Mus musculus: one gene and its partners. The main gene of each other region encodes a partner of the protein of the gene in region 3 in a complex. Links are inferred from orthologs where the notes say so. Each region holds a gene or a part of one and is shown on either strand. Other genes may lie near its edges. The genes, in order: Rab3ip, Myo5a, Rab11a, Sh3bp5, Myo5b and Rab11fip2.

What was found.
Region 1: the proteins of Rab11a (region 3) and Rab3ip are in contact, whole or in part, in a crystal structure (PDB 4UJ5), measured with the Homo sapiens proteins. The link is inferred for Mus musculus from reciprocal best matches to the Homo sapiens genes RAB11A and RAB3IP. Residues at the interface, in NP_004654.1 of Homo sapiens: Phe36, Leu38, Glu39, Asp127, Leu128, Arg129, His130, Leu131, Arg132, Ala133, Pro135, Thr136, Leu156; in NP_783322.1 of Homo sapiens: Asn367, Thr368, Leu369, Ser370, Ile371, Glu372, Pro373, Asp412, Arg424, Thr428, Cys431, Asn432, Thr435, Tyr439, Leu444, Val445, Lys446, Gln447, Gln448.
Region 2: the proteins of Rab11a (region 3) and Myo5a are in contact, whole or in part, in a crystal structure (PDB 5JCZ), measured with the Homo sapiens proteins. The link is inferred for Mus musculus from reciprocal best matches to the Homo sapiens genes RAB11A and MYO5A. Residues at the interface, in NP_004654.1 of Homo sapiens: Arg33, Glu35, Ile44, Gly45, Val46, Glu47, Phe48, Ala49, Thr50, Gln63, Trp65, Gln70, Tyr73, Ala75, Ile76, Ala79, Arg82; in NP_001369276.1 of Homo sapiens: Ile1660, Gln1661, Trp1738, Met1742, Arg1745, Tyr1746, Ser1749, Gln1750, Glu1753, Arg1756, Gln1777, Gln1780, Val1781, Lys1782, Lys1784, Met1795, Glu1818.
Region 4: the proteins of Rab11a (region 3) and Sh3bp5 are in contact, whole or in part, in a crystal structure (PDB 6IXV), measured with the Homo sapiens proteins. The link is inferred for Mus musculus from reciprocal best matches to the Homo sapiens genes RAB11A and SH3BP5. Residues at the interface, in NP_004654.1 of Homo sapiens: Tyr8, Asp9, Tyr10, Leu11, Lys13, Glu35, Phe36, Asn37, Leu38, Glu39, Ser40, Ser42, Thr43, Ile44, Phe48, Lys58, Gln63, Trp65, Tyr73, Ile76, Ala79, Arg82, Gly83; in NP_004835.2 of Homo sapiens: Asp42, Ile45, Gln46, Leu49, Glu50, Asn53, Thr56, Ile59, Asn60, Glu63, Thr64, Glu67, Lys240, Tyr243, Leu247, Leu250, Glu251, Ile253, Ser254, Asp255, Ile257, His258, Arg261.
Region 5: the proteins of Rab11a (region 3) and Myo5b are in contact, whole or in part, in a crystal structure (PDB 4LX0), measured with the Homo sapiens proteins. The link is inferred for Mus musculus from reciprocal best matches to the Homo sapiens genes RAB11A and MYO5B. Residues at the interface, in NP_004654.1 of Homo sapiens: Leu11, Lys13, Arg33, Glu35, Ile44, Gly45, Val46, Glu47, Phe48, Ala49, Thr50, Gln63, Trp65, Glu71, Arg72, Tyr73, Arg74, Ala75, Ile76, Thr77, Ala79, Tyr80, Arg82, Gly83; in NP_001073936.1 of Homo sapiens: Ile1627, Gln1628, Gly1629, Leu1630, Trp1706, Met1710, Arg1713, Tyr1714, Ser1717, Gln1718, Glu1721, Arg1724, Gln1745, Leu1747, Gln1748, Leu1749, Lys1750, Lys1751, Glu1755, Ala1759, Leu1763, Tyr1779, Glu1786.
Region 6: the proteins of Rab11a (region 3) and Rab11fip2 are in contact, whole or in part, in a crystal structure (PDB 2GZD), measured with the Homo sapiens proteins. The link is inferred for Mus musculus from reciprocal best matches to the Homo sapiens genes RAB11A and RAB11FIP2. Residues at the interface, in NP_004654.1 of Homo sapiens: Arg33, Ile44, Gly45, Val46, Glu47, Phe48, Ala49, Thr50, Lys61, Trp65, Arg72, Arg74, Ala75, Ile76, Ala79, Tyr80, Arg82; in NP_055719.1 of Homo sapiens: Glu478, Ile481, Asp482, Asn483, Leu485, Val486, Met489, Glu490, Pro493, Ser494, Leu496, Arg497, Val498.

The regions. Positions count from the first base shown.
Region 1 is NC_000076.6:116,908,954-116,912,453, forward strand, and holds part of Rab3ip (rab-3A-interacting protein), read right to left. Parts: intron 1,429-3,500; coding exon 1,329-1,428; intron 1,242-1,328; coding exon 1,172-1,241; intron 1-1,171. UniProt on the Homo sapiens protein: Guanine nucleotide exchange factor (GEF) which may activate RAB8A and RAB8B. Promotes the exchange of GDP to GTP, converting inactive GDP-bound Rab proteins into their active GTP-bound form.
Region 2 is NC_000075.6:75,069,708-75,074,005, reverse strand, and holds the start of Myo5a (unconventional myosin-Va), read right to left. Parts: upstream 2,801-4,298; 5' UTR 2,374-2,800; coding exon 2,347-2,373; intron 1-2,346. UniProt on the Homo sapiens protein: Processive actin-based motor that can move in large steps approximating the 36-nm pseudo-repeat of the actin filament. Can hydrolyze ATP in the presence of actin, which is essential for its function as a motor protein. Involved in melanosome transport.
Region 3 is NC_000075.6:64,714,800-64,717,778, forward strand, and holds the end of Rab11a (ras-related protein Rab-11A), read right to left. Parts: intron 2,190-2,979; coding exon 2,050-2,189; 3' UTR 501-2,049; downstream 1-500. UniProt on the Homo sapiens protein: The small GTPases Rab are key regulators of intracellular membrane trafficking, from the formation of transport vesicles to their fusion with membranes.
Region 4 is NC_000080.6:31,374,608-31,377,100, forward strand, and holds part of Sh3bp5 (SH3 domain-binding protein 5), read right to left. Parts: intron 1,258-2,493; coding exon 997-1,257; intron 595-996; coding exon 377-594; 3' UTR 1-376. UniProt on the Homo sapiens protein: Functions as a guanine nucleotide exchange factor (GEF) with specificity for RAB11A and RAB25. Inhibits the auto- and transphosphorylation activity of BTK. Plays a negative regulatory role in BTK-related cytoplasmic signaling in B-cells.
Region 5 is NC_000084.6:74,701,119-74,704,618, reverse strand, and holds part of Myo5b (unconventional myosin-Vb), read right to left. Parts: intron 3,175-3,500; coding exon 2,935-3,174; intron 1-2,934. UniProt on the Homo sapiens protein: May be involved in vesicular trafficking via its association with the CART complex. The CART complex is necessary for efficient transferrin receptor recycling but not for EGFR degradation.
Region 6 is NC_000085.6:59,940,565-59,944,833, forward strand, and holds the start of Rab11fip2 (rab11 family-interacting protein 2), read right to left. Parts: upstream 2,801-4,269; 5' UTR 2,437-2,800; coding exon 2,084-2,436; intron 1-2,083. UniProt on the Homo sapiens protein: A Rab11 effector binding preferentially phosphatidylinositol 3,4,5-trisphosphate (PtdInsP3) and phosphatidic acid (PA) and acting in the regulation of the transport of vesicles from the endosomal recycling compartment (ERC) to the plasma membrane.

The DNA of each region.
Region 1 (3,500 bases), on a different chromosome or scaffold from region 3:
GTCCCTGCCCTCCCTGCGTCTGCTGTGACAGGCTCTCCGTGCCCTCCCTGTGTCTGCTGTGACTGACAGGCTGTCCCTGCCCTCCCTGCGTCTGCTGTGACTGATAGGCTGTCCCTGCCCTCCCTGTGTCTGCTGTGACAGGCTCTCCCTGCCCTCCCTGCGTCTGCTGCGGGCCCTGCTCTGGAACAGTCTCGTGGGCTCAGTAATGCTGCTCTGAGGCTGTACTGCCGCCTTGCTCCTTGTGATTGGTGTTTAAAGCCCATCAGCAGCCTGAGGGCTATGCTAAGATTCTAACACCACTGCAGTGGCTGGCGCCCTTCTGCTGACTGGAACATGGTGACCCTTGCTTTACTTGGTACCATCATATCTCCACCTCGGGAAGTCGGACATGAGAGCAGAAAACACAGGAAACTTACGGTTGGCCCCTTCACTCTCCCATCAATTAAAGTCAGTCTGAGCACTTCTAGGGCTTGCTTATCTTCATACCCACAGACTCCCCAAGGAATGGCAGCTGAACCTCGTGTGAGCTAACGAAGCAATCTGCCAATGAGTCATACCCATCCCGACAATTTTTTTTCTTTTATTTACTTATTTTATTTATGTGAGCAGACTGTAGCTGTCTTCAGATACACCAGAAGAGGGCATCAGATCTTATTACAGATGGTTGTGAGCCACCATGTAGTTGCTAGGAACTGAACTCAGGACCTCTGGGACAGCAATCAGTGTGCTAACCACTGAGATATCTCTCCAGATCCTTGACATTTTTTCTTAAACTTTTTTTTTTCCTGAGACAGGATACCATTAGCTTGCTAGTGCTGCCCTTGAACTCATCCTACAGCTTTCCCTGGCCTTGAAAGTGTTATCCTCCTGTCTCCCCCTCTCCCCCCAGCTGTTGATCTCTCAAAGGGTGAATACAGTACGATTCAACACTCGTGACATGTACAGTGTGATCTATCACATATCCCTTGCAAGGTGAACTGGTTCTACTCAAACCTCAAGAGCAAATGGGATAAAAACCGTCTTTTGTGGATGAGGTATTTGTTCTTCTAAATTATCCAAAGTTTTGTTAGTAGTGGTCAGGAAGTTTAATGGAACTGCAGGAACAATTACACTGTTGCTCTGACGGGCTCAACCTTAAAGCAAATGTCTACAGTGAAACAAGACCACTCACCATCCTGCTGTTTCACGAGTCCCTGCTGAATGTATCGAATGTATGTAAAAAAGTTACATACAGAAGTGATCTAGGCCAAAAGAGAGAGACGTCACAACCAGTCAGTTTCACAGCGAGGCAGACAGTATTAAAGGCCACGGTGGCACATGTCACTCACCCTGTATCTGCAGAAAGGAGAGATGTAGTAACAGCAGCTGGAGTCCCCGAGCCTAATCCTGTGCCTGCAGGGCTTACTCTGGCCAGTGAGCGCACACTTTCTGCAAAACAACAAATTTCAGCTTTGTTTTACAGTTGAAAGCATTTGCCCTACTTCCTTTACATTTAGTTTTTCATTAAGATAGGAAATATCTGAGACCCTAACATGTGACGGGCCTGCTCTGGATGCGGGGCCACCGTGAAGAACAGGACAGAGACCCTGCCCCTGTGCGACCGACTCCCAGCATGAGCTTCCGGCCGCAGCACTGAGCAGCACTGAGCTCGCTTCCAGAACAGACGATGGTGTTTGCCATACACGTCCCGGCTGCGGGCAAGCAGCTGCAGGACGGCGCTCACCTACCTTCAGCTTCCTAGCTGAGAGGAAGCTAATCAGGACTATTCGAGTCTTACAACCACCGATAACAGGAACAGCTGCCAAAAGCAGTCTGTGAGGTTGGTAGGGTTGGCTGCACTTGGTGTCGGATGTAAGAAGTATAAAGAAGCAAGCCGCCCTTTAGATACAAAACCGTAACGCTGGTATGAAGAGGCCAGCTCATACCATCCTGTCTGTCTGTCTGTCTGTCTGTGTGTCTGTGGGTGTTCCGGCTGGTCAAGGCTATACATTCCTGGAGGGTAGATACTGTGTCTTATTTATCTTTAAAGCCTGGCCCCAGGTAGCCACCCACTGACTGCTAAATAACTGATGGGCCACCTGTCACCGTGCTGCTCCAAGAGTGAAGCCCGTTTGTGTACCAGGCTGGACCTGCCCACTCGTCAGCTGGGAACCTGACAGACACAACCACCCCTCTTAGTTAAGGGAAAGTTAGCATAGCTCTCAGGAAGTGGCCAATACCATTTGACATGCCATTACAAATTACACAACGAAGGCAATCAATACATATGAGCCACATTAGATGTGAGCTGCACCTACGAGACACAGGTGTTCCTCGGCTAAGAAACCAAGTACATAACGTGTTATTTGGAACAAGATCATTTTAAAGGCATACTGCAAATGTCTCTGAAAAAGAGACTCTCTGTTCTTTTCAAAGAGACTTTGCCTTATCGCCTATGCATGTACACACATGCATGCATGCATGCACATACAAACACACACACGTGCAAACTGTTTTAAAGACCCGTGGCAATATTTAAAAGTACTAACTACTGGCTTGGGAAGGATCAGAAGTCAATAAATTTAAGATTCAACAGCTAGAAGTCCTTGTAACATACAAAAGCAGAATTTATTCAGAAGGAAAACAAATACCATTCAACTGAAAAAACCAAGCAAGCCAGTTACAGCTACTCTTCTGGAAAATATGTTTGCTCTTTCACCGTCTGTCTCACTTTGAGAGGGTTTTGCTCGTGAGGTCCCAGGTGCTAATTTTTAGACTAATAAGAAGTGCCCTTCAAAGCACTGGCTCTGTCTTATGGAGGGTCCTTCTCCGTGTGTGTGCTGTGTGTATATGCTTCCTCGTGCCCAATAAAAACTTTTCCTCAATTGCTTAAAAAAAATCTTAAATGATCCTTTTCAATGCTGCCATGGTCCCGGGCTCACTCCTAGCCTTGCCTCCTGTGAGGCTGGCATAGAACATGCCACGCCTGCGGGGTCTCCTCACGGGCCTAGGCTCCAGATTCCAGACTATCGCTCCCCTTGTCACTCAGGGATGGCAGCGTAGAAATCCCAGCCCATAGCTTCTTCCACAAGCCAGAACCTTTTCCAAATTCCAACCAATTGAGGGGCAGTCACGACTAGGCTCCTCCTTCTTCCAGCCCCACCCCATCTACTTCCGGTCTTTCATTTGTCACACCTCTCCCTCTTCTGTTTTCCCTTTCCTCTGAACATACTCTTTTCCTGTTCCAATTTATTCAATTCTACCCACACCCCAAACCCTAGACAAATCTCTCCAATCCAGGGCCCCCTGTTCCAGCTGGAATGACCTTGTCTCTCTCAAACACCCCCAGCACTTGCCATTTGTTTAGTCACCATTTCTGAAAGCCAGTTCCCAGGAGCCTCAGGAGGGCTTTACAGTTTGCTTAAAACTGCACTTTCGGAGCCAGCAGGATGGCTCAGTGGGTAAAGGCACTGGCGGGAGGGAGAGGGAGGGGGGGAGAGGGGGAGGGGGAAAGGGGGAGG
Region 2 (4,298 bases), about 10 Mb from region 3:
TGCCCTTCACTGTAATAGAAGCTGATCTGTATCACACATCAAAATCTGCCTTAAAGGTCTGATGACAACTTTTAAAAGGGCACTTTTCATATTTACTCACATGCTGAATATCACAATTATGCCATGTCAGTAACATGTTTTTCCTTGTAATCTATCCACCACTTCCTTCTCTACAATCATCTGCAAGGGACAGACACTTGGGTTATACTGACATTTCTTCTAATGGTTTCCTTCCCTCTCCTAATACTTACTACTCTAGAATCATTCCTCTAGAATAAGTCCAACCTTTGCCATATCCAGACATCACCTATGTCCTGCTAACACATCTGCCAGCCTGTTGTTAAGGTAACAGCAGGTTATTTATGCCTTTGGAGATTCAAAGTGGGTCAAGAATATAATAAACAGACTGTGAGCCCTATGAGGAAAGGGCTATGACTTGTCCACTGTTAGAAACTCTAAACACAAGACAGAGTATTTGGTTTACAGGACACTCAATAAATATTCCTTCCTGTCATTAAACTAAGGCCCATTCACAGATCAGTGCACAAATAACTACAGAGTCAGGCTATTCTGAGGTATATCTAAATTTAGGAAAAAGCCCCTTAAGTCCCAACCTCAGTTTCAGTGACTAAATCTGTCTGTATCTAGGAAGACTATAAGATGAATTCTATTACACTGTGATGGAAACTCAAAACTTTATTATTTAAAAATGACAACACCTTCCCCAGTTTTCCCTACAAAATATTTTGTGTGGGGGCAGGGGACAAACAGATCTAGAAGTCCAGCAACTTACCACCCACCTAATTTCTGCTTATCAGCCTATAATTAGCAGGTCCAGGTTCAAGATGGGCTGATAGCAGGGGCCTGGTAGGGGGCCAGACAGGACAGAACAATGTAACAATGTGACAGCTCGTCACAGTGACATAATTGTTACTTGTATCTACTTCATACATAAATTGCAACGATTAAATGAGTTAATATTTCAAAACACTTAGAATTGTACTATGTAAGTTAAGAAGGTAACTTTTAGTCAATTTCCAATGATAGTCTTATAGAATTGCCATGCTGAAAAAAAAAAATTACTAGGTTTAGAGAAATGTTCTAATTGTACACTTCTTAAATCTAGGGCTAGAAAGAAAGTCCCAGGTTCATGCAAGCTCTTCATTTCATGGCTGGAAGAAAGTAATCATATACCTCATATTTGTTTAAAAAAAAAAAGAGTCACAGAAAGCTTTCACAACTAGTATTAAATGTGATCCTCACAACAGCTTGTAAGGAAGGACAAAAGGACAAATAAAATTCACTCTATTTACAAGTAAGAAACCTGAACCAGAGAGGTTATGTAGTTTGCCAAATGTCACACAGTTGGGTGGAAAGGTACAGATTTCTTTCCTCAAGGCTGCAATTTGGGCTCTGGGCTTATTGATGTCACGTGTGCAAGAGATGATTCCAAACTGCTAAAAGAAGAGTCCAGAAAGCTGGGGCTATCTATATATAGCTCAGTTGTAAAGGGTTTACCTAGTATGCATGAGGCCCTTACATTCAATCTCCGTGCCTGAGAGGGAGACAAAGGCAGAGACAGAGAGAGACGGGAAGAAAGAGATTCTGGTAAAAATGTAAAAACATGAACTTGAAAAGTTAAGGCAATTCTGTTGAGTGGAATTAGAGGTAATTTTAATAATCATTAGCTGGCAAAACATCCATTGAAACCGTAACATAAGATACCATGAATGCATACACCACACACTGCCCAACACAGATTTTCTAAACAGTCTCTCCAAAATACGCCATTCAGAGATTACCAGACCCTGAGAATATGGGCGTCGGTTTAAGATTGAAAAGGCTGCCACTTCCCCTAAATGAAGACCAAAAGGGAAAGGCTCGCCGGAAAGGAGGGTGAGGACACAGAGCTAACGAGGCTCTCGGGGATAACGCGCAGGTTGCAAACTCCCAGGCACCAAGAAGCCTAAGAATAAGCTCGCCATCTCCGGGCTGCATCTTCCCACAGGCTCCGCACCCCAGGGCAAATGGCAAGAACCCGGCAGCTAAAGGTGAAAGCGGACTGGCCATAACTGCAGAATCCGAAATAATCTCCCCGAGAGGCTGCTGCCTGGCGCATACCGGCACAGGACGTTATTTTAAGCACGAGTCCCGGGAGAGCGGCCCGAGCATCTGCCCAAGAGCATCCCATCCGAAATGGGCTCGGGAGGCAGAGCAGGGAGGTACAGCCGGGCAAGGAGGTACAGCCGGGCAGTGGGGTGCAGTCCGGTGGAACCTGCCGGTCCTACAGCCACGGTCCCGGCCGCGCGACCCCTCCCCAGGACAAGGCTCTGCGGCGCGCGTTACCTTGGTGTAGAGCTCGGACGCGGCCATGGCGGGCCCAGCGCCGACGCCCCCCGCCTAGGCGGAGGCCGCAGCTCGCGTGGCGGCCGCCCGCGCGGGTGAAACGGTGGCGGGCGGGGAGCAGGGGAAGGGCCGGGCCGGGCAGGGCGGGCCAAGCTGGCGGGCGGGCCCGGGCGGGCCGGGGCGGGGCGCGTCAGGCGCTAGCGGCGGGCGGGAGCCTGACAGTCATCACCTCCAGGGCTCGGCGGCCGCGTGAGCCCGAGGCGCGTGCTCGGGGGACTCGGGTACCAGCCTCCGCGGCCGTCGCCGCCTCAGTCTCCCCAAGCCGCCTGGTCCACACACACAGCCCTTGCGGTCTCTTCAGTCGCCTCGCGTCCTCAGCGCCCCCTCGCTCCCTCAGTTTCCTCAGCCGCTTCGCCTCCTTAGAGGCCTGGTCTCTGTAGCCTCCTCTGTCTCCTCCGCGGCGCGCGATGCCGCCGCCGCCGCCGCCGCCGCCCTGTGCATTGTGGGAGCGGGAGGAGGCTGCGCTCGAGCGCTGCCACCGCGATCCCTCCCGGCTCTTTCGGGCTCACGCTGCCTCCCATCGGCGGCGGGCACCGAGCATCCTCGGCCCATGCGGCTGGCATCCCAAACCTGCTTTGGCGGAGTGGCCCCCCACAGTGTGCGCGAAGGTGGGGCAGTGAGGGAGCGCGTCCCGCTCGAGGTAGCGACGGTTAGAGTGCCCGCGTAGACCCGGCAGCCTCAAGGCTGCTCCTCCTGGCCCTGCTGTTTGTAGGGAGAGGACTTGAGGTAGGGGAGGGTTCGGGAAAGGCCTTTCTGAGAACCTGCAACTCCAGAAGAGACTTGCTCACGGCAGGGCGGGAAGCTGCACCACCCGGAATTTGAAGGATGCTCAAGGTCACTCTGCATTTGGGTTTGCACCCTTGGTGATGCAAGGACATAGGGTGGCCTCTAACACACAGAAACTCCAATGAACCTGAAAACAAGATGGCACTGGGAAATGGCCCATCTTAGACTTGGGCGTTTACATAGGTTCGCCACCATTCAGAATGAGACCTTTGTTCTGCTGATCGTGACAGCACTACCTGATGCTGATCCTGGAGTCACCTGAAAACGGCAACCTACTGAGAGAAACTCAAGTGTTTGCAGTCTTGACGCAGTCTATTCCGTGCCCTTACACGGACACAGGAATGTGGTCTTTTTCATCCCAACATGTTCTCTCCAGCCACACTTTCGTGCTCACTTGGAATACTCTTTAAAATTTTTAGCCTTTTAAAATGTGTCCATCTTCCTTCTTTAAACCTTAAGTTGTGGCCAGTGCCTATCATGGGAATCCAGTTTTATTGTTTGGCTTGTTGGGTTTTGAGACAGGTCTCACTAAGCAGCCCGGGTTTTCTTCAAACTCGCCATCCTCCTGCCTCTGCCTTGTGAATGGTGAAATTTTAGAGACATGGTTCTGAGACCAGTACAATGGCAGTCAAAGCACAAGCCTGACTCCCTAGTTATGTCTGAACATGAGGTGGGTATTTGAAGGAAGACTGTTCACCACTTTGATGTTTCTGGATTCCATCCTTTCTTTGTCTGCCTGTGAAAGGAGACAAAATGTACTTTGAGCCAGCAGAGCATCCAAAGCAATGAGTTGAGCTCCTGTCTCTTACACTTCCTTCATGCCTGTAGAAGGTGCCTGTTTCCTTACCCTCTAGATATTAGCTACCGGTCAGGACAGTTGAGGAATACTGAGTATGATGGGTTGGTGAGTCGGAGGGGGGGGGGGTAGGAAGAACCAAAACACTCAAAACTCTGAGAGTTCTTATAAAAGTGACTTTTATTTACATGAACAAAAATAAAATTGGAATCATTCTTTCAAAATTTTCAAAGACATACTTTCAACCACCCTGATGTAAGAGAAAGAGAAGATGAGGGGTAGGAGAAAGGGTTTTTTTTCTTTTGGTGGT
Region 3 (2,979 bases):
CTCCTGAGATCTAACTCAACATGAAGACTCTTGTTGACATGCAAGCAAAGTCTCTTTCTAATACCTAATGTTGCCTGGAGGTCTCCCAAAATCCACCATGTACAAGTAGCATTTAAACCTATTCTTGGGGAAAAAAAAATCTATTCTTGGTTTAAAATAAAAAAATTTTAAAAAGCTACTCTTACTCATTTTCATTCACTACATAATTTATTTTTTCTTAGTTTTAGTTCATAAATCTATCGTAAATTTTAATAGAAATGGAAGCTTTTCCTGTGTCTAGTGACACTGTTAGAAAAATACAGCCTGTGTCACCACCATTTTTAGAAATAGCTCCCCAAGAGTACAACGTTCTCTGCAGATCTAAAGTCTACCTGAACTGACAGTTGCCCCCAATCCAAGTTTACTCAGCAATGCAAGGACTTATCTTCTCACTCATCAGAAGCAAGGTTTTCATGGCTACTTCTAAAGCACTCAGAAGAAGAATGTAATCTCACCACACTGGGAAAGCCCCTGTAACTGTTTATTAGGATGAGGATGTACTCCAAATCAATAGATTAAAAAAAAGTCCAAATACAGAGCATGCATAAAATACAAAGTAGCAATTTATAAATAGACAGTATCTTTATAACCAATACACTAAAATAACAAATAACTACAAAAGAAAAACAAAATGACTGACTATAGCAATGCCTTCTGTGCTCCCCACACATCATGAGCACTGCAAAAGGCAGAAGATTTAACCATGAAACATAGTCATCTATGCAAGCCCACACAGTTTTTGCAGGTATCCCACCATCCTTAATAACGTCTTTGCAGTTAACTTTCAGAAAACGTCAGGGTAAGTGCTTAATATTATCCACAAGGAAGTAAAACTAAGTATTAGTGTGTACATTTCTGAATGAGAAACTAGTTGTTCCATTGATTTCAATTATGTAGTGGAAAAATCTATTTCAGGGCCCTACAATGGCTAAGTACATTCTACTTAAATTCAAGGTACTATTTCACTTTACATACTAAAAGAACACATGCCTTTAAGTGGTACCACTTGAGTATAAATTAACTTCTCACTGTATTCTTTAGACATACTAAAACCAAAGGATTAATTGAGCTATATTCCATTATACACTGCAGAACTCAAATATAAGCATTGTTAAAATAATTACCCATGCTGGTTGCTGAATATGGTGATAAAATTAGGCTGCATTTCACTTACTAGACAGGTTTAAAAGCAAAATTAACACTTCAAAATGTGATATTACCAGCATTAAGCTAGTTATTACATGAGCAATAAAAATATCACAATCTAGGAAATGAGATTGGTTAAGCTACTCTGGCTGCCGATCACTGCAACAGAGACACCTCAGACAGAAGTCCACTAGCCTACCAGACAGCAGGGTAACTTTGACCACATAACCACACCCTATGCAAACCATAACAGTCCTTTGTGTTTATTAATTCTTTTCCAGAAAAACAACAAAAAAGAATCCCCATCATGTTTGATGCTTACAAAAATTAAAGAAAAAATTTACAACATAGACCTATTAAGGCATTTTAGAAACTGACTTCCACAATGGAAAATCTTCAAGCTCTCAAAATGCTGTTATGTTTACAGGGCAATCCTTAGATCTGTCAAAATATGTACTGTATTGAGAAGAGTGTCTTACAAGCTGCTCTGTGGCAAAACAATAGCTTATTTCTAAGGTTGTCTTAGATCTGATCAGGACCAATAGGTCTAAACTTCAAGTGATAGAGTTCTATTCTGTCCTACAGTGACAGGCTTCCATGATGAAGAGTAAACAATAACTGAGAACTTCAAACATTCAGTTTATTAAACTAAGGCTAGAGAAGCCATAGCATGAAAAAGAACTGCAGTCATTCAGGACAAAGTTGAGGATTTTATAAAGCCAAATCAAAAGACTTAAGACATGGGAAGATTCTTAAGTGTAAGGAAGTAATAAAACACAGAAAGTGACCACAAGAATTACAAATATATTTAAATCTCAGACCTGGGAAATGGACTATACACAGCCTTCTAGGGGAAGAGACGCCTTAGATGTTCTGACAGCACTGCACCTTTGGCTTGTTCTCAGTGGTGGGCGGAACATGAATAGGAACCACATTGTTGCTTGGAGACATGTCATTTTCACGTCTGTCTGACATTTGCTTCTGAGAAACAATGCGGTATATCTCTGAATGACAGAAGAAACAGAAACACTCAGTGTGTATAAACCATGAAGACTTTGTGTAAAAGAGACAGAAGACACACAGAACAGAAAGATACACATTACATTTTATTTGTAGGCTAAGCATGGTAGTGCACATCTGTGACCCCAACACTTGGGAGGTGGAGGCAGGAAATTAAGGAGTTCGGGACCAACCTCAGCCACACAGCAAGTTGAAAAGACAGCCTGGGCTACTGGAACTTTATCTCAAAAGGTAAGGTTTTATTTTCAAATAGCCATTAACTAGAACCAAAGCATTGCTTTTAACAATTTGTGGCCAGGCAGTGGTGGCGCATACTTGGTCTACACAGCCTGGTCTACAGAGTGAGTTCTAGGTCAGCCAGGGTTACACAGAGAAACCCTGTCTCAAAATACCAAAACCCAAAAAAAAAAAAAACCAAAAAAACAAAAAAAACAAAAACAGAGAACGCAGGCCTCCATCTTGCCTTCCCAGTGTTCCTTCTTAAGCAATATCATCAAAAAGTAGGGAAACTCTACAAACGGGCAACCAAATATAATCAGCCTTCCAATAAGATGTACTAGAAAAGACACAATGTACTCCTATGCAGGTTTCATGTGTCCCTGACAAAACAACTCTTGGTGAATTTGCTCAAGCAGAAATAGGACAAATGCAGAGTCAAATAAGTATAAATTTTCTATCTCTGCTACCTTATACAGTAGGTAACTATCTAAATAAAAATTAAAAATCCATGGCTATGCATGGAGAGCCACAGCCTTTAATCAGAAGATGGAGGCA
Region 4 (2,493 bases), on a different chromosome or scaffold from region 3:
GAAGAAGAGGAAGTGGGGATAGAGATGAAGGCTGGTGACCCCAGTCTGGCTAAGTGTCCAGCTCTCCTCCTGGCCCTGCAGGTTCTTTCTCAGAAACTAGTTATTGCTTCCACGCTGCCGCTACAGGGAATGCTCTGCAAAGACCGTGACCCTCCCTGGTCACGGTTTACCTGCAATGGCTCTGCTCTGAAAAGCACACCAGCCCAAGAGCTCTTACCAGAGGGAAAATGTTTAGCCCTCAAGGTCACTGAAACTTGGTTAGTGCAGTTTAGAGTAAATGCATACTATTTGGCTTATGTTAAATGATTATTGGCACAATGTTCTTGAATTTCATGTATAAATATGATCTGCACATAGGCCATAGCCCTTGGGTGGATCAGCCAATCTGCACCATTTTTATGTCAGCAATAATTCCATCTCTTCCTTTTGAGCACTGTAGGGAGAGCTGCTTCATCCGGGTTTCCAAGGCCTGGCTCTCAAGGGACGTGCTGCTTTGGCTCCTGCTCCTGCCACTGCCACCGTTGGTGCTGCCGAGAACACGGTTGTTGTTGGCTTTGTCACTCATTTTATTCTCGGCCCCTTCTGCTCTGTCTCCTGCAGAGATACAAAGATTGCCAAATGGGGGTGGTCAGTTTCAAGAGTTCCATAGGCACCAGCATCGGCCACCTGAGCCCTCTGCCATTCCTGCTGTCCACCATACATCTCAGAGGTTCTCCAGCACTGGGTGGCACACTACATGCACTCACTAATCTGTTCTTTAGAGATGAGATGTACCATTGTCATTTTGTAGCTAGGAAGCGAACCTCTCCAACAGGAACTTGCCGAGAGGATTGTTCTTAGGGGAGACATGGGACCTAAGTTCTGCTTGGTTGAAGTTGGCCAGGACTGTAGAAGTGCCCTTGAAAGTAATCTGAGTGATCCATCCCACTGTATGTTCTCAGGGCCCCTGAGACCTGGCAAAGGTATGGACAGTGCACAAGTTGAGCTGCAACCTACCTCGTTCAACCTCACATTCAGGGGAGGAGGCCCCACTGCATTCACTTCGAGGACCCAGTATTGGGAACATCATCCCAAATTCTGACAGGGACACAGGGCTAGGCAGATCCAGACTGCCAGGCCTTGCCACTGCAGGGAACTGATCAGGCATTTCAGACGGACTCGTCGGTCCCGAACTAAAGCTGGACACAGACTGGGTTTCCGAGTCATCTTCAGACACCAAGTTGCTGCAGTTGTCATCTTCAAAGGCTTCTGATGCCACTGTGATGAGAGAGGACATCAATCACATGGGATCTGCCAGGTAGTAGCCCAGTCCCTTAAATGCCTGCAGACATGCTCTCTGCTGGACATGCTCACACAACATGGAGTCTGCAGGACCTGCATCGCACCTGAACCTGTCTGACCAGCCTCCAGAACAGTTTGAAAGGAAGCGGCTTGTCCAGCATATACAAAGGCCTGAGTTCCATCCCCAGCGCCGAAGGAAAGGGGAAGGTAAATTCAGACTAGCCCTTTGTAATGTAGCCTATACTAGGCAGAAGGAAGACGGAAGCAGCAAGAGCTGCTGGAAGGAGGGGCAGGCCGGGGTGGGATGTCTGATAACTTCTGATCTCAACAGACACGCTACAAAGTACAGTGCTCCTTTCCAGTACTCTAACTGACTCTGAGTTTGTGGACAGAATAACCGAGGCTCAGAGACAGGCCATTCTTGTTTTCAAAGCCTCTTCAGCCTGCACTATCACTTTTAAGATCCTTCCCAGTTCCCATTGTGCCTGTGACTGTTTAAACATGGCCTAGCGTTCCAGAGTGGATTGATACAAGTGCTGTGCTAGGAAATGGGTCCAGATCTGAACTCATATCCTAACGCCACTGCTGACTGTGTGGCCTTGTAAGTCACTTGACTGCCCAGCTTCGGGATGCTCTGTGCACAGGATTAATGAGGTAATATGTAAAGTAACTCAGTACATAGGCATTGGTTACATTTTAGTTTCATTTCCCTTCAAACTGGCAATTCAGCATTTGTTGATGGCCTTTAACACTTGGTGGGGCCAGAGATGCTCTTCTAGAGGACCCAGGATTGATTTCCAGCACTTACATGGCAGCTAATAACTAATTCCACAAGACCCAGTGTCCTCTTCTGATAGCAGGCAATTATGTGGTATACATAGATTCATGTGGGAAAGATACAAATTATTTTTCTTAAATAATAGTAATAAGGAAAAGAAAAAAAAAGAGTTGCTGAGGAGGAAGCCTAAGCACACAGGAAAGGGAGAGCTATGAGGTAGTGTTCTTGTCAGTAGTTTTCTTGATTAACGGAAGCTAGGTCAATCCTATCATTTCTGCACAGGATATCCCTGAGCAGAGGAGACCCGTGTGCTCAGACCCTAGGGAGAGCTGCCAGGTATCTCCTCAGCACCCTGTGTAGCAGAGTAGACCCTCATGCAGCTGACACAGCAAACACATCAAGGCCCCTCTGTCCCCCATCATTGGTGAAATGGG
Region 5 (3,500 bases), on a different chromosome or scaffold from region 3:
AACCCAGCCAGAGGTGGCAAAGCCTCCCTGAAAGCAGCTTCAATCTCAGCCAGGCTTTTTCCTGGCTGTGCATCCTTTGGTTGGTTACTTATCCCCTCTGTGCCCTTAAGTGCACTCATGGTTAAAATGGAGATGATAGCAATACTTATCCCATAGGTGTGGTGAAGATCAGTGGGTTAAGGCATGGGTACAGTGCCTGGCATGAAAACCACAAGGGAATCAGTGTGAGAAAGATCTCACATGTTCCCTGATTACCTGCTGTATACAGGGAGCCTTGCCCAGGGTGACAGCATCTGCCACTGCTCACAAATGTTTGCCGAGCAGAAAGCTTAAGGCGAGAGCTTTATTTAAAAATAGGCCTTTCAAATCTGCTTCTCTCCGACGTTCAAGCACGTGGGGTGGGAAATACCGTGTTATTTTTATCCTCTGGAGTTGACCTCACACACCAGCAAGGCCAATACTGAGCACTATCTGAAACCAGGGCCCAGGGGGGGCCTGGGTACACAGATGCTCCTCCCTAGTAGGGACAGTGGCTTTAGTCGCCTTGTCCTCTGGCCACACTGTGTCTAGAAAAGTGACTCAGTGGTCACTGGCACTGACAGTCCTGACAGAAACAGGGGACACCGTGGTGCTTTGTGTTTTCACAGACCTCTCCCTGACTTGCTGGGTCACCACAGGCTGACCAGGGTAGGAAGTGGGCATCCCCAGCTCACACTGGGAGGGCTGTCTTTTTATACTGAGCATTTGTACCGGCTGGTTTTGTGTATAAGCTCGACACAAGAATCACCAGAGAGGAAGGAGCCTCAGTTGAGGAAATGCCCCCATGAGATCCAACTGTAGGGCATTTTCTCAATTAGTGATCAGCGGGGGAGAAGACCAATGGATGGTCCTATCATGGGTGGTACCGTCCCTGGGCTGGTGGTCCTGGGTTCTATAAGAGAACAGGTTGATCAAGCTATGGGGAGCAAGCCAGTAAGCAGCACCCCCTCCATGGCCTCTACATCAGCTCCTGCCTCCAGCTTCCTGCTCTGTTTGAATTTCTGGTCTGGCTTCCTTTGATGATGAACTGTGATGTCGAAGTCTAAGCCAAATAAACCCTTCCCTTCCTGACTTACTTTTGGTCATTGCGTTTCATCACAGCAATAGTAACCCTAACTAAGACAGCATCCAAGCCAACACTCTGGGTAACTCCAAGAGAACACATACCCAGGGCACTGGCTCTTCCACAAGCCTGGTCTCTGCCCAGAACAGGAAAGCAAAGTGCCCCATTGTCAGCTGTCTCCACACAGGGGCTCATGTGTAGGACAGCTAGCTTAGCCAAAAACTGGTTCATTGTACTGGAAATGTGACTCAGTTGGCAGGATGCTTGCCCTGTGGCATGAAGCAGGGGTGAGCCCTAGCAGGGGATAAAACTGAGCCTGGTAGCCTACCACTGTGCTTCCAGCATTTGGGAGGTAGAGTCAGAGGTTCAAAGTCATTTTTGGCCAGAAATGGAGTTTGAGGCTAGCCTGGACTACATAAAAGTCTATCTTTAAAAAATAATACCAATAAAAACAAAAACAAAACAAAATGACTCACCTATTTTCCTGCCCTCAGGTTATGAGAAGCTCCAAAAATGCCTACTATAGCATGAGTACATTAAGATCAAGTGTCCCCACTGCCACTGCTGCTCTCCCACTGTCATGGCTGGTCCCCCACTGTCATGGCTGATCCCCCACTGTCATGGCTGATCCTCCACTGTCATGGCTGATCCTCCACTGCCACAGCTGGCCCCCTATTGCTATGGCCAGTCCCCCACTGCTATGGCTGGTCCCCCACTGCCAGGTTTTTCTTTTCCTCACATCCACACCATGTGCGCCTTCATCCTTTCTCTCCTGAGTCTACATGACCTCAAAGAAGGCAGTATTTTACGCTTGCCTCAGATCCTGTCACAGAACTCCATCCATAGTGGGCATTGACACACTGCTCATCCAGCTGGTTGACGTGCGAAGGTAGCCAGTGCAGAGTTAAAAAGCCTAATCAATGCAATACCAATGTCATATCAGACAGGATGCCAACATTTACCTCATGGGGACCGTCATAAACAAAGAGGGAAACACGGTGTGGGTCCACACAGCCATTGCTGTAGCTATACTGTGAAGCCTCTGGAGAGGCAGGGCCTCAGGACTCTGGACGAATCTATCAATTTCTTATTGCTCCATTAAAAAGTACCATGGAGGGCTGGAGAGATGGCTCAGTGGTTAAGAGCACCGACTGCTCTTCTGAAGGTCCTGAGTTCAAATCCCAGCAACCACATGGTGGTTCACAACCATCCGTAATGAGATCTGACGCCCTCTTCTGGTGCATCTGAAGACAGCTACAGTGTACTTAAATATAATAATAAATAAATCTTAAAAAAAAAAGTACCATGAAGCTGGTGGCTCAGAACAATGTAAGCTACTATTTTGCAGCTCTGGAAGGAGCTTCTAAAGGTGGCCAGCAGGACTGTGGTTGTTTAGAGACTCCAGGGGAAAACCTCCCACTGTTATCTGTAGCTCCCAAAGGTGGCCTGGATACTGGAGCCTGTGGCTCTGCATCCTGCTCCCCAATCCTGTCTGCAGCTTTCTCTCGTGAGCACGCTATGATCCCATGGGGTCCACCTGGACAGCCTAAGGCCACCTTCCCATCCAGACACCTCTAACATATGCACTCTTGCAAAGCTCCTTGTTGTGTGTGAGAGAGCACATTTGTAGATCCCGAAGATTGGGGCGTGCTGCCTTTGTTGGGGAGTGACACTATTCAGTGACTATGTTCAGCAACTATTCTTACTGACTGGGCAATGCCCCTGAGGTCTCTGGTACCTGCAGCTCCCTGAGAAAGCTTGGGGGTCCATCTCAAGCATGTCCCAGTATCCCCTAAGCTTCGACACCCATGTAGGAGACTCCTACCACTGACCTGGTCATCAATCTTCCGCTGTAGCTGGACGACTTTGTTCTCCATGCCCACGTTGAGGCGTTTCAGATGCTCTGCCGAGCGGGCCTCAATCTTGAGGGCCTTCAGCTCCTGCCTGGCCTTGAGTCTCCGGAAGGCACACTGGATGACAATGGCTGCATCCCGCTCCCGCAGAAAACGCTTCCGTGCCATCCAGCCTCGGGCGTACTTCTGGATGATGGTGGCTTTGTGCTCCATGAGGACCTGGTGAGGATGAGTACACATATCCTGTGGGTTTGCTCTGCAGGATGGGGACAGGTACAGCTTCTGTAACTACGGGGGTTTGAAAGCTGGCCTGGCCTTGGGTTTAGGAGACCATGCATATGTGGCCTGTAACATCCAAGGATTTGATGGAAAGTTTTAGCTAGGTTCTGTAGACCTTGTGTACACAGGAGAGTGGCTGACAAACTCTTGTTTCTACCTTTATTTATTAGATAGATATGGTTTGAATAGGAATGGCCCCCGTAGACTTGTGTGTGTGTGAATGCTTGCTTGGCATGGCACTATTAGGGGGTGTGGCCTCGTTAGAG
Region 6 (4,269 bases), on a different chromosome or scaffold from region 3:
TGTCAAAAATACAAAGCTTCACACCCAGCAGTTTCGTAGGACATCTCAATCAGCTGGTAGCCTTCATCACTCATTCCACTTTTCCAAAAAACACTTGGGAATATGCTGACAAGGGCTAGCAATGCGCAGCATATTAAATACCTTTCTTTTAATACACTGGTGGCTCAAGTCTGTCTCTTACTGTGCCACATGTGCAGCTGGGTTGGAAAAAGGAAGCTATTAAATATATTAAAAATCTAGAAATATTACCAATAAAGATACCTCATCAAATACACAGTTCCCATTTAGTCACCCGCACAAAACAATAAGGGTTTAATAACATGAAAATCTCTTTGTGTGCAGTAACATCGCAAACCCTGTTGATAGCATTTCAAAGCATCTCCCTTCCAAAAGCTGTCCTTGATTTTATAGACAGACTACACTGTTAGAGTATTGTTCATGGTCTAGTTTATTGTAACTGCAAAGCTGCCAAAGGCGGAAATAAAACAAGAAATTTTTAAAGGGCTACTTCGTTCTCAGCATCTTTGGATCTACACTTGGGCCTACTTAAATTTGGGAATTTACGTTCGAGTGGTCTGCAGTATATTACCATTAATATTAAAAGCACTTTTTAAAGCACGGCAAAAAATTTTGAAACTGTAGATGCTCAAAACCTCACAGTCAAAACACTTTAAAGGGTATACACTAGATCATTTCATAGTGACAATTTGGGACAAATTATTTGGTTATTATTCATTTTTTCATTTTAAATCTGATGAAGAATCCCTCAGAAGAAATAACATGCTATTAAGTATCAGGAAATTTAAAAATCATTAAATATACAACTTAAACTTCTTCTCCTCCCCCCATCCTCATTGAATATTTACCTATTTTTTTTCTTCTTGCATTTCTAGTATTTTTTCTTACATACACTAAATCTTAGGTAAAGACTTTATTCAAAACAAAAACAATTCTTATTAAATGAAGTTTGCTGGCAGGTTTTACAAAGGAAATAAAGACAGATAAAAGATCACTATACTTGTAAGAAATTAATGTGAGCTTAAAGTTATCATTGCAAAAATAGTGCTCTAAAGGGTAGGTAGATGAACATGCATCAGGACTGGGTTTTGTTCTTTTTTTTTTTTAAGCTACTTGGGAAAAGTGCAGTCCTCTGATGAGTTCCCTCAGCCCTCTTTTCACAAACTCCAGCCATCTCAATGAGCCTTCAGGCCCATTACAAGCTCTGCGTGTAAGGTAAGCGTGTACAAGCATGTAAGCTAAAAGCAGGACAGCAGACCTACCTTTCCAAAGATGCTACTTGTTTCAACTTAGCACATAACATCCTAGTGTTGATTTGAATTTTGATTTCTTAAATTAAGTATATCTAACTTAGGCTAGAAAGTTCAATTTCAAAAGCCATGTTTTCATCGAAGAAGTCATTAAATCACTGCATCACAAGACTGTAATCACTGTCTCTGATCTTACACAACAGCTTTGCTGAACTAATTCTTCAGTAAACAATAGCTCCACTATACTGTAAATTCAAAGGGAAAATGTCAGTGGGCTCAAGACTGAAGATGTCTGTGCAGACTTCCAAAACTTTTGTTCTTTTAACAACTTTCTACCCTATCAAGAAGTACTGACCCTGAAAACTGGTGGAGCAAAAATAAGGCCAACTGTTTCCAATGCTGAAATAAAGAGTTCTAAACCTAGTAACTTATCTTTTGACACCCTTTACTAGTAATTTATTTTTTTAACAGTGCTCAACAAACATAGACCTAATGGTACGCATATATTTAATTTTCTGGTTTTCTAGTTCATGCTCTAGGCCTCTTATAAAAAGTATTAAAACCCAGTGCAAAATATTCCACTAAGAGCTCTTAACCTCACACAGAAATGAGAAAAAAAAATGGTTTACTAATCACTCCATTAAAAAAAAAATCAGAGTAAAGGCTATTTCCCTTCAAAGTCATGCAAAGAGAAGTGCTTAATACTGGATCCTATTTCAATCCCAAAGACCAATGCCTCAAATATACTATGTTCAAGAACAGTAAATCCATATATCTTTAAGTACCCAAAATTCAAAATAAATTATATAACTTACTCTGTTTTCCTTCTTTGTTTGTCCTCAAAGATGTCATTGAGATTGATTGCCACCTGCCCTAAAAACTTATCCAGTCCCACCAGGGACCTGTGCATCACTATAAGAAAAAGAATGTATTTCTCCGGACTACCCTGCATGAGCAACCCAGGCAGCTCAAAGGAGGCCTCCTCCTTCCAGACCGGCTCCAGGGTTTTCTCTGCTACAGATGTAGAATACTTCTCTTTGCCCAACTGAATTATGGTGTATGTGTCATTGGTACCACTTTTGCCTTTTGGCTTCAGATCTTTAGCTTGGAGCACTGTGACCTGCACGTGGGTTGGAAACCACTTTTGGGCTTGCTCAGACAGCATCATTCTGGGTTTTTTGTTTTGTTTTGTTTTTCGGTTTTGTTTTTTGTTGTTGTTGTTTTGTTTTCTCTGCGCAGAGTTCAGAAGCGCAGGCAGAGCCCCTCCCGCGGGGAGAGCCCCGTACCCTGATCACTGCATCCTTAAGAGCACTTCAGTGAGCTGGGCAGTCAGGGCTGCCGCGAGGTCCCTAAGGGCTGCTGTCAGGAGGACCGGTAGGGAGGCCGCCGCCGCTGCTGGGGTCCCTTTCTTCCGTAGAAGCACAGGGGCCCACATCACCTCCGCGCCTTCCGGGCCTCCGCGCGCAGCCCCGCGCCCCGCTTCGCCGCTATCCTGAAACCTGCGCCCCTAGGGCCCGGCCTCCGCCCCGCGCGGCCCGGCTCCTCCTCCGACCCGGCTGATACGAACCGTCGACGGCCGTGGGGCCTGGCTCCCTCCGCCCGCCCGCGCGGCCTCGCCTCGGCTCCTCCCCCCCAAGAGTGGCGCAGGCCTGGGCGAGCGGGGCGGAAGCGGCCGACCTGGACCGGTGTCGGAGGGACGCGGAGCGCGGGTGGCAAACCGAGGCCGGGCGGTGTCACCGGGTGAGGCCTGGCCAGCAACCCGCGGCTCCTAGCGCCCGGCGCGCGGCGGCCGCGCCACTTCCGGGTTGGCCGTCTCCATGTTGAGTGGGGCTGCGCGAGGGGCGGGGCCGGGCGGGGTTGGGGGTCAGCGCCTCCCTGGTTGCCTTGACGACGGGGCGCGCGGTGCGGGACGCGGAGGCTGGGATGCGCGCGCTGGACGGTGGGTGCTGAGGTTCCAACCTGTCGGTTGCAGCGGGCTGGGGAACTGTGAGCCCGCAGAGGCCGACAAGGGGTTCTGGGAGGCGGCACTGGGCCCTATACACCGCCCGCTATTGGGAGAGAACCGGTTTCCATCTTGGAAGGCAGAAATCTGTTCCAGCTGTGTGTTCAGTCCTAGCTGGGCGCTGGTGTCCTTTAATGGTGGTAGTTCTTCTTGAGTGACAGTTCAGACTTCGTCCAACCGTTCTCCATCGTCTTGAAGAGGAAACCTTCAACTGACTAAAGGGACCTCCTCCTGAGCACAGACCAAAAGCAAAGGATGCAGATAGATTCCAAAGCTTAATAAAGATTCTCTTGCTTAATAAAGATTCCCTTGCTTAATAAAGATCATAGACGCTTTGGGATGGCGTCAGAAGACCAGGCCCCCATGCCTGCCACCATAATTCTACGGAACTATTTAGTCTTTTTTCCCCCTTTCTAAGTTGTGTGTATGGCGTCCAAGTCAAAAGCATTCCCTGAGCGCTCACTGTCAAGTCCTCCAGGAATCCAAACCCCAACTTCATGGCCAGAGAGGACAGGAGTACTGTCTCTGCTTTTCAGTCTCAGGAGATGCATACTACCTCTGTTGACTTTATTTCTGTCCATGTCTGCCTAGGAAAATTCTGAAGCTCTTTGGACTGCACTTCCTGGCAGCACATCCAACCTGCGGCCAACAATAGCTATGAATGAGGCCAAACCCAACCTTAAATGCTATGAGAGTATTTAACTGCATTGTGCTTTTCTTCAGGGAGAACTTTGCAGACAGACAACAGCTCTCCAAGCAATGTCAAAAGATTAGACATCCCTGAAGGACTTTAGAGAACTAAGCATTAAACAGACATGCTAACCAATCTGTTGACTGACTAAATGCTTTTCTCCCTTTATGGGACTAATTTTGAGAATAAATATGATAGATAGGAATGTGCTTTATCCAACTTAAAATGGTCATAAACTGTAAGGTATTGGGTTTATTATTATCGGGCAAGTTTTAGAACTTCTGTTATACAAGCTGAGTTTCCATCCC